Caenorhabditis elegans: one gene and its partners. The protein of the gene in region 1 interacts with the protein of each later gene in a pairwise test. Each region holds a gene or a part of one and is shown on either strand. Other genes may lie near its edges. The genes, in order: mig-10, F42H10.3 and nphp-1.

Region 1 (5,913 bases):
GTTTTAATTTCAAAAAATGCACATCAACAATTTTTATAAAAGTTTGTTACTTCTGAAGTTAGCAGTGTTTAAACAACATTCAATAAAAGGCTTTTAATATTGATATTCTATGAGATGAACTATGCGGTTTTAGAAAAAGTGAGAGTAAGTTTGCTCTCCAGCTTCAAAAGTTCAAATCTACTCACCTCGAAATTTTCAGTTTTTTCTACAGGATCTTTAGATTCTTCGTCATCTGCCGTCTCAGCAATATCCTCTTCTGTATCGGCTTCTAACTCGTTCTCCTCTTCAATATTAGCACAAACCTTCGGAAACTGTTGCTCTTCGAGCACGTTCAACAACGGAGGAGGCCGTTCAACTTCGTCGAGTTCCAAATTAATAGCGTTGCTCAAAAGTGTGGACGAGGAAAGTGGTAGAAGACTTGAGAGCAGGGAAATGCTGTAAAATGAATGGAATTTATTGGGAATGCTTTCATGTTTACATAAACGAGAATGCATTCTTTAAGTGGATCAATTTGAAAAATGGAACACATCAATGGAATTTAGAAATTTGTTGTGTTTCTCTTAGAAAGTAATTTTGTTAGAAACCTCTCCAAATGGGAAAAACTCAAATATCATAGTAAATCTTTTCAAAAAACTTGTCTGAATTTTTAATTCAAATTGTGTTGTGAAAACTTAGTTTGCACCTATCATAATTTCAAGTGTGGCAGATTTTTGTTTCTATGAGTTTTTATACTTTAATTGCCTTTTTTTTTATTTGCATATATTGCTCTATTTCAACATTCTGAGGACGAACCAATGCTCGAAATTACTTAGAATGCCCATATTTTTGGAACATTTCGTAAATTACCAAAACATTGAATGTAAGTTTTTTAAAAATTGAAAAAAGGGCTTTTCTGAATCAACTTCTCTATTTTGAATTCACATTTAAAATTGAAAGAATATTTCAAGTTTCTAGAATTGAAAAGTAGATGGCACTTCATAAGAAAAGAAAGAGGAACAGGGAACAATCTGCCAACATTTTTGATGAATTGCTCCCAAACAAAGAGTGAACGACAGCATTTTGATGGACAAAGAGAGAGTCAAAGGGGTCAAGAAAGTGAACATACTCTACCATGACAAGGCTGTTCTCTTCTGGTGATTCAAAACTGAAAGGTTTGAAGCAATTCGAAACTGACGGAAAGGACACGCTCCGGTAAAAACGATGAATGAACATCAGAAATGGAACACACATGGCAACAACACGGACCGATGAACACCTGGCTAGCCACGAGGATTTGCCGGATTTTCGAGGATTTTAGTTAGTTCATAAACAAATTGGGGTTTGGATGGTGTTAATTAGAAATTTTTTGATAGTTTTTTGTAGAGAGGGCTTGAAAACGTTATTGAAAATCCATGTGAGCTATATAAAGTTTTTTCAACTTTTTGATAGATGATTTTCTGGTTAATGTTTAATCTATGACTTGTATATTTTTGTTGTTTTTTCTATTTTTTCTATTTTTCACAGTACAAAATTATTTTTAAAAAATCTATTTAGAGATTCAGGAGAAATGATATCAATTTTGGCAAACTTTCATAACTTTTAGACGCCATTGCGAAATTTTACTAATGGTTATTGAAAAATAATCGTTTCGCGGACTTGAAGTTATGTAGCTCTTTCTTTCTTGTCATTCTTGAAAAAAATTCACCAATTTTCTCCGTTTTTCTTCCAACTTACTTAGTATCTTGGTTACCTTTTCCTAGACCTCCCCGACTTTCAAACTTAATTAGACCACACTTGCAACTATCTTTAAAAATTCAGAGAATTTCACTTTCATGGCCAAGAGCAGCAATAAAAGTCAGAAAAGTGAAAGAAAAGAGAAATAGAGTGCAACACAGAAACAAGAATGGACAAGAGAACGGACAACCCATTGTTTCAGAATGTCGTTCCTTTTCTCTGTGTCTCTTTTGAATTCATACACATGTTCCATGAAACATGCTCGCGCACAGATTGAAATGAACAGAAAGAGACGAGGAAGAGTGCGAATGATTTATTCATCAATGCTCTGGTATGTTCAGAGCTTTGCAACAAATGAAAAAGAGCACAAATGGAACATTTCTGAATAATATTGATTCGTAACTTAACTTTGCTTCATAACTTTAGAACATCTTGAAAAAATTGCACAAAAAAGAGTTTTGTCTGTCGTTTGGGAAGTAGAGTTGCGTTGTGGAGACATTATTTTTCCTAGGGCTGAGTAAGGCTGAGTAATCTAGTATCCTACCAAATAATTTAGATAATTTTTTAAAAAGGCTGCGGTTTCTTTGGAGAAATTACATGAAATAAAAAGTTCTGAACACTTCAACACACATTCAAAAGTTTTGTTACATTCCGATCTAAGCTATAAGTCATATTTTTGGAAAACCAACAAAAAATTCTGAACGAAAATCCAGTAGGTTTCAAGGAAAACCGTACAGCCAACAAGAAAAGATCATAGAAAATCACATCTGGATGGCCTTCCGTTCTATTTCTTTTGCCGGATTGTCACTAAATCATCTGCGAATGATAAATGACCGTAACCAAAGAAAACTAATCAAGTGTATAGAATACGGGAAATGAGGTCATTGGAAAAAAGGCCTAACTGGAAATTAGGCTGAAGCTACTGCTAATACTAGTGTTACGAAACACGACAAGAAAAAGTAATCAATTCAGAAGCATCGCCAATAAACCAACAAATAGAACATATAATCAAGTTATCTGAATGCACGAGATAGGCGTAAAGGACGTACGAACATGCCAGCTTAGAGATTATAGGAAATTGTGAGTCACAGACAAAAACGCAAGTTGAGATAGCAATCTTTTGCTCGATGAGGGTGAAGGTCCGGTCAACTGATGACCACTAAAGATAGACACAACATACTACCAAAGCTTTATAAAAACGAATAATTGGAAAAATAGGAAAATTTGTTAGCGATAAGAAAAATTTGAATTATCCAAATGTGAATGTAAAGATAGCCTGCCAAATTTGAAAAAAAAACGCATCTTTGTGAACATTTTACAAAACTACAATAAAGATGGTTTAGCTTTTGTCAAAACATACCAACAAAAAAAACACTATAATTTTCGAAACACTAAATGTTTTATGATTTTTGGAAAGTTTTATTTTTCCGTTCTTCAAACTATTCAGTGACTCGATTTTTTTCCAAACCTTTTTTCTATAAAATAAAAAACTTTACCCATTTTCCATTTAACATCTAAACGTTTCAAATTGGCTAAGATCAAACGGCAAACACTTGAAAAGTGTGCATAAGGTAATTACGAGAAACCATTTGGGAGTCAAGTGTTTACGGACCACTGACATTTCTTTGGTTACCACAATAAGAACTCACCACTTTTCACCAAAAAGTTGATCTTCTTCGTCACTGTCAACTTCCAGATCGCATTCCTCTTCGCAACTGTCCATATTGGCTGAAATTTTGGAATTCAATCTTGAATAAATGTAACAAAAAGAAAATGGATCTTCTGAGACACAAAGTTTACCGGAAATGTACATGTAGCTTTGTTTTAGAGTTGAAACTTGAGAAGTCGTATAAGAAAGAAGGAAAAAATTGGAAGGGAAAGGAAAACTTTAAGGGGTCAAAAACCTTTTTTAAAGAAAAAAAACTGAAAAAATTCGTCAAATCAAAAAATCTAGCATCAAAAATTGCTCGTTTTTCGACTTTTAGAAATATCCAAAGTATTTGCCCAAACTTGCGCAAATAATATTTGTATACTAAATTCTGAATATCTAGTTTTCAATCAGCAGGAAACAGACTTTTATTGAATTTTTTTCATAGATTTCTCTAGTTTATTGTCACAATAAATCCACTTTTTCTAGTCTTAAAAATATGTATTGTATGTAGAACAATCTTTTTATTCTCAAGTTAAAAAATTATGAACCCTTGCAATCTAGAAAAAATTCAAAACACGACTTGTCAAGCTAATCCAAATAAAACAATAACAAAAACAAAATTGAGATTTCCGCTCTCTAAATACCGTATTTTCCTATGTTTGAACCACACTACTCTACATTGACGGCTTATATTTCAGTGGTTTAAGCTCAACGAAAAACTGTTCAACTATACAAATATAGCAAATTATTTGACACCTACTTTTACAGTTTAAAATGTCTCAATAAAATATAAGAAGACCGAGATATTTATGAGTTGTTAAAGTAGAGCAAAGTGATGCAAGGCCAAATTTGAGTGTGTGGTCTAAAGTTTTTAAGACAGAAGGAAAACCCAATTGACCACTAAATAATCTACACCAAATTTTCTTCCGTCTCCTCGAAAAAACAACAACATCTGCATAAAAAAGTGATTGACCTTCCCTCTGTCGGGATCGTTGCTAACAAAGTGCAAAAGCGATGATACAAGTCAAGGGATACCCCCCTCCCCCGCACAACAACAAGAAAGAATAAAAAAGAAGGCGGGGACAGCAAAGAGGGACACATATATCTCTTCCGCGCGGAAAGAAAGCGGCAAAAACGTACTAATGCGCGAGAAAAGAAGCAGAAGAAGCATATAATGACCTTTTTATGATAAAGTCTCGTGGGACAACCGGACCATCAATATGGTATTGAGTATAGAATATGCAAATTTTGGTTGAATAGAAAAACGAAGAGAAAATGGAACAGAAGGAGAGTTCAGAGTGCGCAAATAATGGAAGGAACGCGCGTAATCTGGAAGAGTTGACATAAAAAATAAGAGGATTATTCATAATTGAGTCGCTCGGCACGATACGGTAAGGAAACTATAATGAAGAAGATTACAAGACAATCAAAACTAGAACTTTTAAAAAAGTTTTCAGAAAAACTTGGTAGCAGTAAGGTAGTTATAGGTAAGTAAGGTATAGAGCACATTCTGAAGTTGGAAATTTCAAGTTTTTTTTTTTTTGAAAAAAAAGTGAAGTTTCTGCTGAAACCATAGAAAACTATAGTTCAAATTTCCCGAAAATAATTACAGTTAGCGTCGCCAAGTTTAGCCAAGATAAATGAGTATTTTATGCAAGAATTTTTGTAAAACTTCCAACCGAAAAGCTATTTGTACTTCAAAAATGTTTATTCAACTCACCCTCCATTATGTAGATGAGTTGATGGTTTTTCACAATTGGAATGAACACATAGTAAGACTACTCTACAGATAGAGTTGAATAAAAATGTTCTGCTTTTCAACTATTTAGTCATGATCGTTTAAGACAAAGGACAAAAGCAAGTTTTGAAAATTCGACCAATAAGACTGATTTAGAGCTGACCATTTCTGCATGTCTTGAACAAAAAATGACATAATATGGTCACAACTGGAAGAAAAAACTGGCAACGGAACGACTCAAGTAACCTAACATTTTAGAAACGTTCCACCATTCTGAACACCATTCAAAACTTAAGCTCTATGGCTCAGGCTGCAATTTAAATGGGAAATGAGCCGAGAAACAAGCCTATGAAGAATTGAATGGCTGCTGACCCATGCTCCAGAAACTCCAATTAGTCATTTGCTAACCTCAATCACGGGGGGTCTCGGCTGCAGCGTTTTCGAAAACTAATTGGTCCTCCTTCTTTCTCGCTAACAGGATAATATGGACATGTTGGGATGGAACAGAAGAACAAGAGAAAACGTTCAGAAAATGTAAAATCCATTGAGAAAGTGACTATAGTTATGATATTTATAAGGAGGTAGAAGGTGAATAAATTATAAAAGTAGGCATTTGAATGGAGGAACGGTGAGTCATCGGGAAAAAAGTACTGCCCGGAGTGGAATAAATAGGTTAGTTGGTAATTTTCTTGTAGGGAAATGTTTTCTGATTCCGGATTGTGGAAGTTCTGAATATATATCAAATAACCTTTTCAGGAATTTCGCAGCAGTTTGTTTTGCGGAAAAAAACAACTTATCTCAGAAGCTATCA
Region 2 (7,644 bases), 210 kb from region 1:
GCTTCTTCTTCTTGTGTTACAACGAGGAGTGACCAACAGAAGAGAATGGAAGACAACCTGCCCTCTTCCTTCATCTTCTACTGCCCCCGCAATCCTCTCTGTTTGTTTCTCAAGAAATTCTCACAATTCTTTAGCTGCTTGGACGTGATGAGGATAAATCAAATCTTCCGGTTCTCAATATTAATTTATTCCAATCAACATCACTTTTTAGAAATTCGATTCTCTCGCGTCTTTTTGAAGCCACAAAGTCGGATTTCCATTATAGAGGTGATCCGAAACCAAACGACTATTTTCAATAGGGTTTCACGTGCCTGCCTACTACCTGCCTACTGTCTCCTCAACATCTCGCTTTAATTAATTGAAAGATTCACCTGCCAAGGGTGCAGCATTGATTTTTTACAAAAACCGTAAGGAGAAACCCCTGAAAATTGTACAACCAAATACAAAACTTTCCAATTTTTCGGATTTCTAAAAATACCGAAAAACCGTAAGATTTGTGATAATAACTCCCGATACATTTTTTACATTCCTACGTTCCGCCTGCCTGCCTGCCGGCCTGCCTGCCTGCCTTCTGCCAATTTTCTGTTATTTTCTGAAACTGCTTGTTCCCATTTCAAACAATATATTTGTTTAAGTTTCTATCAAGGATTGCAAAAAACCAAAATCATGTGTTCTTGGGTAAATATGTCTCTTTTCTGGTGCCTAAGCCTGCGGTTTATTCAAATTGCCTAGAAAAATTTACAAACAATTTTAAACAAAACTTACAAAAGTTTTTCAACGTCGTTTTTTGCACATTTTTCGAATTCCGTTCAGCTTCAATACATTTTTTTTCCAAATTGGGTTTCAATATAAAAAAAAAACGTTTGAAATTTCATACAAAATGATGATGCATCATCAACATGTTGTATGCACGGCTTCTTCCAAGTGTTCACTTTTCACTTTACACCGCTTCCCCATCTTCTCTTCGCCGCCGGCTCCGAGGATGCGACCCGTATCTTTCTTATGTGGAGGGAGCTATTTTAAACTCAAAACTACTTTTTCGAAAATGAGCTTCTCAATAGACTAGTACCCTTTGCTTCGTCTTCTTCTTTTTTAATAGTTTCTTGAGAGGTCATCTACAATCCTTTTGAACTACTTTCAAAAATGGACAGATGCCTGCTCATTTTTTTGAAATTTGGACTCATTATAAAAGTATTATTTCGTAATTTACCGAACATTTAAAACAAAAACTCCTTCAAATCAAAATAATTTTTCCGGTTCTCTGTAAAATTGAATATTAATTGAAGCAAAAACTATAGTTGGGCTCCGAAAATCGCAAAAAAAGAAATGGAGGACATTTAAATTTTCGGGAAATATTATATATATATATATATATATATATATATATATATTATTAAATATTATTATATTATTCATATCGCCTCCACTACACTTTTGTTCATATATTATAATACATTTTTCATTTTCTTCCCAAACCAACAATACGTTTACCGCAACTTAATCGTTTGCCAAAACAAACCAAGTTCCCTGATTTCACTGATATGTGTGATAACAATGTGAGTATGGAAAGTCAAAATGAGCACAAACATAAATGTGTGAGAGTTGTGTGTAGTGTCTTGTCGGGGAGTGAAGAAGGGGGCTCCATGAATAAATAACACATTCTTCTTTCCCGCTATTTCTCAATTTTTTACCCGAAATCTTTGTACAATCACCCTATCCGCCCATTTCATCCCTCGTTCGTTTCTCGCCTCGTTTACTTTTACTCATACATTTTTTTGTCTATCCGTCATTTTCCTACCATTCTACATCCAACCTAACCTAACCATTCAATTTATTTACTCTATCTGTCTATGTTTCTTTGTTTCGCCTTATCTATCATTTATGCCATACAACTTTCGTTCCCGTCCAAGGGTGAAACTTTCCAAAAAGCATAGAATTTGGAAAGTATTTCCAAATTATAAATTAAAAAAAAATTTTGTTTTGTCTTAAAAGTTAGAATTATAAAGATTAAGGTTCAGCAAAGATAATACCTCAAATTGACAGATTTAATATTAAAATTTTCCGAAAAACCCAAATTTGATTTATTTAAACTGGCAACTTTTAATTTTACCACACATAATTTTATAAACCCAAAAATATATGTTTTTATTCTGATAGGGTAAAAATATGTGACAATTCTCAAAACTCTTATGAATTTTACCAATTTTTGCCAATTTACAAAAACATTATTATGATTTCTATTTGTATTTTTTTCTAGTTTATTCAAATATCTTCAATCTTCATATTCTACAGTTTTTATTTCCAGAAAATGAGCAAAAAGTGTGCTCGCGAAGATTGCGGGAAGACGGTATATCCAGTTGAGGAACTGAAATGTCTTGATAAAGTTTGGCACAAGCAATGCTTCAAATGCACTGTTTGCGGAATGACATTGAATATGAAAAACTATAAGGGATACGACAAGAGACCGTATTGTGATCCGTTAGTTTTTATGAGAATATTTCAATTTCTAAATTTTCAACTATTTTCAGACATTATCCAAAAACCGTGGCTTCAGTGATGGCGGATACTCCAGAAATGAGAAGAATCGCAGAGAATACTAAAAATCAGAGTAACGTAAGTTTTTGCAAAAAATTTAGAGAAAAAATAAATCGTCTCCCCATAAATCTCATTTATAATTAAAAAATATAACATTTGAGAATGTTATCCCAAAAATTGTAAAGAGTTTTTAAAATTCTTCCAAAAAATATCTGTAAAATATTTGTAAAATCAAAATCAAAAATATTATAAAATCTACACAAATAAATTTTGTCGAATTCGGCACTTAAAAAATTTGTAGTGGTGTCAAATTATGGATTCTCAAAAAAAGGATCTCGCCACGGAAACTACTGTAAATCAAGTTTTCTTGAAGAGTTCTAATATAATGTTCATCTTAGTATATAATGAGAATTTTCCATACTAAAAATGTAAAAATTAACTCAAATTTGAGTTTATAAAATATACGAAATTTTCAAATTCTTCGAGTTTCCAAAATTTCGAAAAAACACAAAAAAAACTATAAACAAAATAGCTAGTTTTATTCAATAAAACCTGCTACTTCCTATAACTGATTTTCAAATTTTCATAATCTGAAATTTTAGATCAAATACCACGCCGAATACGAGAAAATGAAGGGAACAAAGATCGAAATTGCTGATGATCCAGAGATGGAAAGACTGAAGAAAAATACTCAGGTTGGAAATAAATTTTTAAAGATAGAATAGAATAATGCTATTTTAAGGTTCAATCAAATGTTTCCTATCACGGAGTTCTCGACCAAAAAGCTCGTCAAGAAGAAGTCCGTCCAAAAGAGGAAATCTCACCAAACCCAACTCCAAGTAAGTTGTTCTTCCATTTTGTTGTCCCCATGGACTTGAGAATTGTATCGTCCAAGTTATGTCAAAAGTCTTGCACGGGAAAAACTTTTAATTCTTTTTTCAATTTTCCTCACTTTTCTCTTATTGTTTTTGTATCGCTTTTTACTGCCAGTTTATCAACTGGTCACTGGAAATGGAGGAGTTGTGTATGGAATTGGAGTGGCAATGGTTCAAGAAACTGAAGAGAAGTATGAAGAAAAAGAAGTTGATGAGGAAGAAGAAGACGATGATTATTGGCAAATTCCGGTGATTGTATATCCTAGATAGAATTCGCTTTTTTTTTAGAATTAGTTTTCAATGTTTCTTTTTTCATATTTACCATATTCTCTGAAACTGTACTGGAAACATTTTGTACACTTTTGGCACATTTTGAGGGGAAATATGGTATATCGATATCTAGATTAGATACGTTTTGTTTGTTTTCTTCTACCTCATCTTTGCTTTTTTCAGCTAGCCATAATTCTAGAGCAGATATTTATAATCAATCTTAAAGTGTTCTTGCTCAAAGCTGAAAGAAAATTACTAAAGACTCTCGCTTATTGAAAATTGTAAAAACTATGTGGGACAAGTTCTTGCCAAATTTTGGCAAAAGTATTAACTTGGTTGTTGCTCTAGGTCGCGCCAATATTCAGTCCAAAATTGGTCTAACAATATATATAGCCAAATTTGACATGACAAATTTTGAATCAAATATTTTTATCAGGATTAGGTTAATCTAAACTTAAGTTTTGTCCAGATTTGGACTAAACTTTGCCAACTTTTCAGCCAGGTACATACTTTTTTAGGCCAAACAGATAACAGAGTTTTCTTCTAAAAAAATAACACTGTTTTTAAAGAAGAATATCTTAGATGTTCTACAATTGAAAAAGCAAACTTGCAGTGTTGTTTCTAGAAAGCTGAATTCTTCATTCAGTTAGTATATAGAATTATAGAAAACTTTCCAAAATGGCTTTGAGTGAAAATACTTTTTAGATTGAACTTTAATTTTCAACTTCTTTTCGTGTCATATCAATGTCCTAATGTTCACTTATTTCTCAAATCTCTTCATTTGTTTCATACAAAATACACCTTCAGGTGTTGTTGTTCCACCACAACCCACTGAGCCCACTCCAGCTCCATCCGTCCCAGTTATTGACCAAAAGCCGAAAGCAGTCAAATCGACTTTTAAGAAAGGGCCAGCCAAAACTGTTAAAGCTTAATTTTCCTTTCAGTTCGATTTCTGATCATGACTATTATTTTTCTATCTATTCAAATCCTACATTAACCATGACAAACTGATTTTTTCAATAAAGAATACATTTAATTAAAGAATTATTTCCAACAAATCAATCTTCTCCATTTTTCAACTCACTTTTTTTTTCCACTAACCATTTATTGCAGCTCCAATCTCTCCAATGAACCATCAATCATATTCGGCTCCAACACAAGCAGTAGCCGCAAATACGCATTTGATCTACTCAACAGAGCAAGGTGGAGCAGGTTAGTTAGCAATTGAATTGATTAATGAGCATCCAAAAAGAGCACCTTGTGTATTGAAAAACTGATTGAATGCCTATAAAAGTTATTGCTGATTTTGTTGCTGATTTTTGTACGGATACATTATTTGACCAAAAATTAAGATAATGCTAGGTCTCAGTCTAAGCCTAGCCTAAGTCTAAGCCTAAGCCTAAGCCTAACCTCTTAAAAAGTTACAATAAGGTTTTTCCTTGCGCTTGGAGCGCAAAAGAAAAGAAAAAGAGCTATTTAGACTTAGGGTGCCCAACTGGAATAAAATATAGGAAATCCTTATGACACACTTAAGCCTAAGGGCCCGAAAAAAAACTAGGATGCCCAACTGGAATAAAATATTGGAAATCCTTATGACACACTTAAGCCTAAAGGGCCGAAAAACATACTAGGATGCCCAACTGGAATAAAATATTGGAAATCCTTATGACACACCGGCGGTATGGCGCGGCTTCAGCCTAAATAGCCACTTTTATCGCGCGTCAGTGGGGGAGCTAACGCTCCCCCACTGACGCCAAGCCTAAGCCTTGTCTAATTTATGGTATCTAGTTATATAAAGTCCAAATTTTTCGTTGTGCTTCATGTGTAATTTTCTAAAAGCTTTTGTGTTGTGCATTGTTATTTTTCTTCGCTTTCAGTATCTCCAACACCACAAAAATCAATCGGAAGTATTGCTGACTATGATCCAATGAACGGACAATGGGGTACAGCTGCTGCTCAACCGAGAAATTCCGAGAAACTTGGATATTTGAGTAAGGATTTTGTTTTTTTTTTTGGCTTTTGTTTGAATGATTTGCTCATTTGTAATCCACACAAATTTTTTGCACGTTTTGGTACTTATTAATTCGTTTTGTGGAAGAAATAATCTTTTAAAAAGCTCATTTTGAATAATTTTGATCTGTCATTAATTGAAACTAACCGCTTGTTGCAGAGGCTCAAGTGGATAAAGGTCCGGCAAGATTTTGTGCGGATTTTGCAGGAGCTCCACCTCCATCATCAAATAGTATATCTTCAACATCTCCACATTCAACACTTTCTTCTCCACAAAGCACAATTTCACCGACTGGAAAAGCTGGATTTGCAGTTAAGGCAATTTATGATTACGCTGCTGCTGATAAAGACGAGGTAAATTTAAATTAGGTTTTCAACCAGTTTCACGATGAAAATTTATTCAACCATCTAAAATATTTGATTCCAGATTTCATTCCTCGAAGGTGATATCATCGTGAACTGCGAGAAAATTGATGATGGATGGATGACAGGAACAGTTCAACGAACTCTTCAATGGGGAATGCTACCTGCAAATTATGTTCAACCACATAAACTTCCTACCGGATTGCACCGACTTTCTTAATATTTCCAAACCCACGCACATTTTCTATCTCTCCATGACCTGCTCTTGCTCACACATTTCCCCTAAATGCTTCAATTATGCTTCAGGCTTCTGCAGTTATTTTTTCAACTTTCTGAAAATCCCACAAACGGGTTCTGTTCACCTTCTGAATGCCTTTTCTCCATTTGTTTTTCAATCTTCTAAAATGTTATATGGTGCTGAAATTTAAAAATTAAAAATTATAATAAATGAATTTACTATCAATTATTAGGCCATTGTCATAAATAATAAACCGTGTCTATAAGGCACATGAGAACAAAATATACAGATCTAAATTATACTAATCTTATAATATTAGAAAAAGTCTCCAGCATTTGCTCTATCTGCAGCTCCGGCTGATGTTGAAGGTCCGACGTTATCCCCTTTTCTTCGGATCATAGATTCAATCCCAGGTGTGCCAGGAGTTTGTGCTCCTTGGCTCCAAGATGATCCAGGTGTAGTAGAACCACGACTCCATGCAGAACCAGGAGTTGTGGATCGCTTTGAACTTGACGGTCTTGACCAATTCGACATGATTTTCGGCGAGGCGAAAGGAGATTTGTGAGCAGGTAACATTTTTAATCCAAGCTTCTTGGTTGCCAACTTTTGAGCAGCAGGAGATAATTGTGCAAGCTTGTCTGAGACTCGCTTGGATCCAAATCCAGGTGTTCGGCTGAAACTTTACCAAGTTGAAAATTATTTGAAGTACTATTATCTCGTTATAGATTTTAATACCATAGAGAAATATATTTTATAACTTGAAAAAATAAACAATTTTTAATTGAAAAATGAAAACTCACTGAGCTCCTTCAGCTGCTCTCATCGCAACTTTTCTCTTGTCTCTATATTTGGCCGCGATTGAATCATTCATAGATTGTGCAATTTTCTCCCGATACGGAACCTCTGGTATCTTGAATACAGGCGCCGCACCAGGCAACGAATGCTCTGTAACGTCAGGCGCATCAAGTCGGAATGGTGTTCCATCAATTTCTCCCCAAGTCATAAGAGGAGAATCCATGTCGTCAGGATTTGGATTCGGTGTTTCGAGTAATTTGAATGAGTTGGCTGGAGTTACTTCATTTCCCAAAAAATCAACTTTTCCGGCATTCGCGAGAGCATGGCTCACTGCTGCTCGAGTCATAGCTTCGTCGCTAGGCTTCAATTTTCCGGAGTCTGGAAACCTAGTGCCACGTTTATTTATTTCAGTTTGCTGTTTTCTAGCTGCATCTGCAATCTCTGCAGGTGTCAGAGCTGCCCCATCCGGATTGAAGAGTACAGTGTTCCATGCTTTGTATGCCCAATTGTCTACATTCAGAGGTCTATTGTCATCAGCATCTACAGCATGTTTTAAAG
Region 3 (6,856 bases), on another chromosome or scaffold:
TAGACTATTGAGCAATTGATTTCAGGGTTTTAATGCGAACTTCACAGTGGTCAATGCAACTGGTCAGAGCTTGAATGATAATGTTCAAGTTGCTAGTAATAATGCATCAGGTAAATAGGCAGGAAGTCTGTACTGTAGTTTAAAAGTTTTAAGTTAATGCATATATTTTTGGAGTTCGTAAATTTTTCTGACCAGGTGTGCTCTTAAATTCAATTCTCACATTTGAAATTTCCCGTATTCCATTTTATTTCCAGACCTACTTACCGCATCAGCAAACGCCAACACAACCGCCACATTGCTTTACAACTCAATTTCTTGCTTCCAACAAAATGTAAACTCCAGCTACACATGCTTCTCACCTCCAAGCACTATTGCTCCGTCTACCATTGCTCCATCCACAACTGCCAGCGATGTCTCCACTGTAAACCCTGTGACTGACAACGGAAGTACCGTGTCTCAAGGAACTCAGCCGACTGGTGGAAGTACTGCTGCTCCAGTGAGTACTGATGCACCAGGTTCTACTGTCTCTGGAGCAACCGATGCATCCGTTGCATCCACAGCTGGTGGAGATACTACTGCAAGTGGAGCTTCTGTGGTATCAACCGCTGCTTCTTCCGAGGCCTCTACCGCCGCACCTGAAGCTTCTTCCGCTGCCGCTACTGTAATCAGCGGCAAGCCAGTTTAGGAACTCTTAGATTTCTCAGAACCACATCCTGATCGTCAGCTCGCAGAATTTCATGATGTAATAAAACCCCTTAATGGAATAAATTCGATGAGGCTGTGATTCTGAAAAATCGCCCAATTTTATTCATTATTGCGAATAAACATATTTCATTTCAAATCCATTTTTTGAGAGGGTACAGTGTGAAAATTTACAACTGAAAAATGGCCATTGCTCAGTTTTACCACTCCTATGTTTGGGAGTCGACTCTAAATTATTCAAATATTAAACAAAAAAACCAAAAATTTCAAAACCAAAAATTTCAAAACTTGAAATTTACTGAAACAATGACTGAAACATTTCTATGCTTAGATGCTAGATGAGTAGAACTTATTACACAGTTAAATTTTTTATTGAGCTTAATTTTATCTCCATAAATTAGTCAATAGAATGATTGCCTAAAAGATCCAATGAATAATCGATAATATTGATTGGTTTGCATTGTTGATCTGCGATGAACTGCTTGAAAAGTCCCTTATTCAATGCATCCACAAATCGTTGCATAGTCTGAAATGTTACAATAATCGAAGCCTGATTTTGAAACGAGCTCCAAGAGCAGCAGCTCTACCTGTTGCCTAATCGAAAGAGTAAGATCATCTTTGACATCATACGAAATCATTCGAATCCCATGAATAAAAAACGCGGTGTGTAGAAAAGTTTGGAAGAACTCGGCAGTTTGTTCAGCTTCGTTTTTCTTGGCGAGCACTTTCTTTTTGGTTTTCCAAATTTTCAGCATTATATCCATAATGTCATGCTGGTCACAAACAAATGGGAATACAGAGAGAAGTGGGTCAGATATAAATTCTGAAATTAGTTCAAAATATTGTTTGGGTGGGTATGAAATCCTACCAGCACTCAATGGATTCCGATTGTCCCGAATTAAAATGGTTCCAGCTCGTCGGCGGTAAAAGTGGAAGAATGGTAAATAAAGAGCATTGAATACTATGACATCGGGGAGGGAGCTGGAAAAATAATTTGGGTTGAACTTAAAGTCAGGTCAGGGATCCAGATTTTCAGCTTTCTTAGTTTCCAAAACTCACTCCACATATGAAACCTTATCCTTGGGAACATCCATCACTTGAACCAGAACTCTTCTTTTCGAAGCTTCCGGCAACTTCATTTTTGTCATCACTTCATCATCCAAATACAAAACATTCGTTCTACTTGGCACTGCTTTATCATCAATTATCAGTCGCAGATATGTATGTCCCAAACTCTTTTCCTCAATTCCTATTTGTGTCTTCACCAAATGAGATGCTTCCACAACAAGTACCACTGTCGGAGATCGATAGTTTGAGCGGAGAACAAAATCAGAAAACTCGATGCAGCTTCTCGTCTGGCTCTCTTTTTTCTCAAAGTACCACGTTGAAGATTTGACACGTGGCACAAGAGTGTGCACGTTGCTCACAATTTGAGTGGATTTTGGATTTGTGATGTCGACAAGAGCCATTCTGACAAGTGCCTTGTGTTCGATTAGGGGCATCTTTTCAAATCGAACTAGACGGATAATTTTTGATATATGGACAGTTCGCTTGTAAACCTGCAAAAAATATAGTTGATTTATGAAAGTGAGCAAAAAATGTGTTGCTATGAGTAGCAAATGATTCATAGTAAAAATTTTTAAAGCAATTTTCTCAGCCGTTTTTAGGAAGACTCAGAGGTTTTTTGGCAAAACTGTAGCATTTTTTGGGTAGAAACTGCAAGTTTTAAACTTTTACCTGATCCTTGTAATGACTCCAAAAAAGATCATGAAATCCAATATTTGAAGTTGATAGTCTCGGAGCCATATGGCACACTAGTGACAAGTGAGTGTCATTGTCATATGCTTTACCAAGACAGTCATCAACTCGAGATGCCTGCCGGTTTGCTTCTCGTCTTGATGGATCAGTAGTCGTAGATATTCCGATCACCGAATCTCGAACTCCGAGGCGACTAGACACTTTTGATGGCTGAAAATTTCTACTTATTAAACTAACGATACTAGAGAAAAGTAACAAACCACATTCTTCGGCTTTTCCTTAACATGTTGTAAATAAGTCTTTGGCACAAGACCCCTCTGACCATATTCATCCAGTGCAGTCCACCAACCATCGGATCTTGTCTGTGTGATTCGATACTTCTTTCCTTTGATTAACTCCAAATCCCCTTCAGCTTCTGCATCCCAACTGTCAATTGCAACAAAAACATTGCCACGGACTACAACTGGTTCCATAACTTCTCCAGAATCTCCACGACTCGGATTCTGAAGCCTTGAGATGACTTCATCAAGTTCTTGACGTTCATTCAAAGTCTTTGATTCAAGAGGTTTTGTAATTGTGATAGGTTGTCTGGGTTTTGGTTGAGGTTGCTGGTGCTGTTGCTGTGGAGGCTGTGGCTGACTCGGAAGAGGATCATCCAGCTGAACATCCGTCTCAATAATTTCTGAATCATTATCAGAATCTTCTGATTCATCATCGTTATACATTGTGCTTTTTCGGCGGCCAATTGCAGCCATTTTCGGTTTTTCTTCTTCTGATTGAGAGTCCACACTGGAATTGAATATTTAACTATTTATTAGAGAAATTGAATTTAATTATAATTTTACCTGACAGAAAACGATAATTGCTCCTTTTCCGGGCTCAAAGCTGTCAATCTTTGCTTCAACTTGTCAAGTTGCTCTAGAGCGTTTTCTTTCTTGTAGGTCTCGTCAGTTTTGGCCTTTTCAATTCGATTTCGGTGATCGTCGAGCTGCAAACTGTATGCATATGTTGATATCCTTGAATGATACTTCTACGTAGGCACGAGAATGCCTACCTACCAGAGTGCCTACGGTCTACACATATGCCTAACAATTTTTCAATGTTTGTAAACAATTAATTGAAATTAAATAGAAAGTTGGTCGACCTAAAATCTATGAATCAAACCGGAGATCCCATAATGGGCGGTAGGTAGGCCCGTAGGCAGCCAGGCATAAGGCAGATAGAGAAAATGCAATTTTTACCTGTCTATGCAATTCCTGGCACTGTCTGACAAAATGTTTGCGAAAACTTGCTCTCGACGCGGCTTCGGTGTCTTTTTGCTCTTTTTCGAGGCGATTTATCTGAAAAAAAGGCTTTTGCTATTTTTCCTTGAAAATACGGTTTACGGTCTAGACACGACAATTTTTGTCGAATGCGAAAAGTTGTGTGCCTTTAAAGAGTACTGTAATTCCAAACTTTCGTTGCAGAGGAATTTTTTAGTTTTTTAATAGTTTTTAGATGAAAATATGTACATTAAATTTAAAAAAAATTCTGGAATTTTGAATTACAGTACTCTTTAAAGACGCACACCTTTCCGCATTTAACAAAAATCTGTTGTGACGAGACTCAGTTTTAATTATACGTTTGAAATTTAATTAAAACGTTGAAAATGCGCCCCACTGCAACTTTTTGGGTATTGAAGGGATTTTTTTAGTTGGAAATGAACAATAAACCACGAATTCAATTTTTAGTTATTTAATAATGTGTAATGGAAAAATTAAAAAATTCACAATAATAATTTTTAAATAAATTACAAAAAAATCCAAAAATTGAAAAAAATCGAATTCCTTTTCAAATTCGTGTTAACAATTAATATTCCCCACCTGATATTCAAACTGCGGAAATCGATTTATGGCATCCTGCAGACTTAGAATGCTTCCAAATATGGACATCCTGCTTTCCTCTCCCCCTGGAAAGCTCTTTTCCGCGCGGCCACTTGCCTTAAGCCACCCTCGTTGCCCCTGGCAACTTGCGGGTTACCACCTGCCAGCTCCCCGCAAATGTGGTTAAAAACTGGTGAACTGATGGTTTATTAGTAAGGAAATCGAGAGAGAGCAGATAAATATGCAATTTTGTGGGGTCACTCGGTCAGTTAATTACGGGGGAAGAAGCTTCAACATTGAGAGAACGACACTTGGAATGAATGAATTAAAAACGGACTGTACAAAGAACACGCGGGATGATTTGGGATATATCTTAAAACTATATGGAATCACTAATTAAAAAATGAAATAAAATAAATTATGATTGAATATTAATTTGTTCGATGACATCATATACAGAAGTCTGAAGTCCCCAGTACGTCCTGCACAAGTCGTAGAGTCCCGTTTTCAACCCATTTGTGACGTAGGCAATTGTCACTCGATTCTTGAGATCTGTGATGACCATTTGGCATCCGTGCCCGGTATGTCCGAAGCCGAATTGAGTCTGAAAATATGGCGAATTATGAAAGAAAAATATTAAAAAAATTCACTGAAAATTAAATAAAAAAACGCTCCTAACATTTTGCAGGTTCTTTAGCTAAATTTAGGGTTTTAAATATTTTTTCTATGCATTTTCATTTTTTGAATGAATTCGAAATTAATGGTTTTTCAACAATTTCTCCTGTTTTTTCGTTTTCTGTTCACCACCTGGGCTCTTTTTTTTTGGTCCTTTGCTAATTTTTTGGGGGTTTCAAAATTTTTTTTTTTTTGCTTTTTTCGGCAGTTGTAATTTTATTACAAAAATGGATTTTTCAGTCTTTTTTAATGCAAAAATTAATTTTTGGCTGTTTATGTTTTATGTTTATTTATTTAATTTATTTTTAATTTTGTTAATTTTTGTTATTTTTGTTAATTTTTGTTAATTTTTGTTAATTTATGTTTATTTAGCAAAAAGGTACTTTTCGGGTTTTTTTGAGAAAAATTGATTTTTTTGAATTTTTTATGGGAAAAAGGACAGTGGTTTTTTTTTTCGCAAAAATGGATTTTTTAAAAGTTTTTTTTGGCAAAAATTAAAAAATCTGCTTTATTGGATGAATTTTGACTTTTTCGTTCTTTAAGAGTTTTTTCAGACTTTTGTTGGTTTTTTTGGTTTTTTTATTGTGAAAATGGATTTTTTAAAATTTTTCAGTTCAAAATTTCCATCATCCCTCGTCCCTCTTTCGATTATTCAAAATCTCACCCCAGCTCTATGAATGGGCAAATGGAAAAATCCGTGTCCCTTGGCGACAGTATCATCAAAAATGAAATCACTCTCGTTGACGAACGGTTTGCTTATCGTGTTCAGTGTAGCCTGATTGAGAAGTTTTCCTCGATTTACCTGAAACAATCCTCTTAACTATCGTTTTTGTTTCAGTTTTTTTAAACAGTCACAAGGAAATTTCCTTTTTCTTTTTTTTTGTTCGACTTAAAAATTTCTTTTCTTCGCTATCAGCCTAGTTTCAGCTGATAACGATGTTCAAACAAAACGAAAAAAAACTTAAAATTCTCATAAATTTATCAAAAAAACGAGAACAAACCTTGTCAAAAAGTGAGGCAAGAGAACGAGCATTTCCCATTCCAAGTGCGGCAGCTTGCTCCAATCTGGAAAAAAAACATGAATTTTAAAAAATGAAATAGCATAAAATATTGGTCAGATGCGAGATTTTGTCTCAAAACTATGACAATAGGTCTCGAAGCGACTTTTAAGGAGTACGGCAGTTTCTGAATTCTCATTTTAAAACATTTCATTTATTTTTTTATACTTTCACATGCAACATCGTAAAAAATCCAAAAAGAAGCGAGGATTTGGAAACTACAGTAATCCTTAAATTTTGGCATTGGAGAAAATCGGCCGCTTCGAGACCTGGTAGTGTATTTTTTGGGGGAAAATAGCAAAGTTTCGGATCTGGGTAACAGAATTTTTTGCGTAAATATACAAAAATTTGCTCGAAACTACCGAATTTCATAATGCGACATTACACAAAAAAAGCCAAAACTTTTATGGAGTGTAAATATTTTAAAACTTCGAAAAAAGAACCGAATTTTGCTGAAATCTGAATTTTAGCCAATAGTTTTTAATGAAATATAGCGGAATTGAAAATGTTTCGTTTTTTTTTTTTTTTTTCCGTTTTTTCCGATTCGATTTTACGAAAAATATCTTAAAATGCTGGTTATTTGTATTTGTTTAAGAATAAATTTATATGTTTCCTCATGTATTTTCCATCAAATTTGACTTTTTTTAACGTGAATTTTATGATTAATTTTCTGAACACATTTTTTTCGATTTTCCGGGCAATTCTCGTACCGATGATAATCTGGATTATTGATCGTACATCTGGAGACTGCTTCAAGCCATGATGGATTTTTGACAATGTGTGAGAGTGGATGATCCTGAA

Evidence for each region.
Region 2: the proteins of mig-10 (region 1) and F42H10.3 interact in a two-hybrid assay, tested with the Caenorhabditis elegans proteins (one large-scale study listed by BioGRID).
Region 3: the proteins of mig-10 (region 1) and nphp-1 interact in a two-hybrid assay, tested with the Caenorhabditis elegans proteins (one large-scale study listed by BioGRID).

Annotation. Positions count from the first base shown.
Region 1 is NC_003281.10:8,276,631-8,282,543, reverse strand, and holds the start of mig-10 (Abnormal cell migration protein 10), read right to left. Parts: upstream 3,437-5,913; coding exon 3,363-3,436; intron 2,900-3,362; exon of another isoform or gene 2,808-2,899; intron 2,106-2,807; exon of another isoform or gene 1,969-2,105; intron 436-1,968; coding exon 186-435; intron 1-185. UniProt on the Caenorhabditis elegans protein: Required cell non-autonomously for proper development of the excretory canals and for the long-range anterior-posterior migrations of embryonic neurons CAN, ALM and HSN.
Region 2 is NC_003281.10:8,481,850-8,489,493, forward strand, and holds F42H10.3 (LIM and SH3 domain protein F42H10.3), read left to right. Parts: upstream 1-2,303; 5' UTR 2,304-2,308; coding exon 2,309-2,478; intron 2,479-2,528; coding exon 2,529-2,613; intron 2,614-3,137; coding exon 3,138-3,230; intron 3,231-3,277; coding exon 3,278-3,374; intron 3,375-4,793; coding exon 4,794-4,892; intron 4,893-5,557; coding exon 5,558-5,671; intron 5,672-5,850; coding exon 5,851-6,044; intron 6,045-6,117; coding exon 6,118-6,273; 3' UTR 6,274-6,516; downstream 6,517-7,644. Other genes in the region: Splicing factor ESS-2, read right to left, coding at 6,607-6,970, 7,092-7,644.
Region 3 is NC_003280.10:10,647,839-10,654,694, forward strand, and holds nphp-1 (Nephrocystin-1-like protein), read right to left. Parts: upstream 4,419-6,856; 5' UTR 4,392-4,418; coding exon 4,323-4,391; intron 3,801-4,322; coding exon 3,702-3,800; intron 3,449-3,701; coding exon 3,306-3,448; intron 3,250-3,305; coding exon 2,721-3,249; intron 2,671-2,720; coding exon 2,440-2,670; intron 2,262-2,439; coding exon 1,762-2,261; intron 1,684-1,761; coding exon 1,571-1,683; intron 1,526-1,570; coding exon 1,290-1,525; intron 1,229-1,289; coding exon 1,100-1,228; 3' UTR 1,055-1,099; downstream 1-1,054. Other genes in the region: M28.10 (Flo11 domain-containing protein), read left to right, coding at 26-110, 255-685; lact-3 (Beta-lactamase-related domain-containing protein), read right to left, coding at 4,741-4,926, 5,662-5,799, 5,999-6,062, 6,766-6,851. UniProt on the Caenorhabditis elegans protein: Plays a role in the extension of dendrites from phasmid ciliated sensory neurons. May be necessary for initial assembly of the cilium.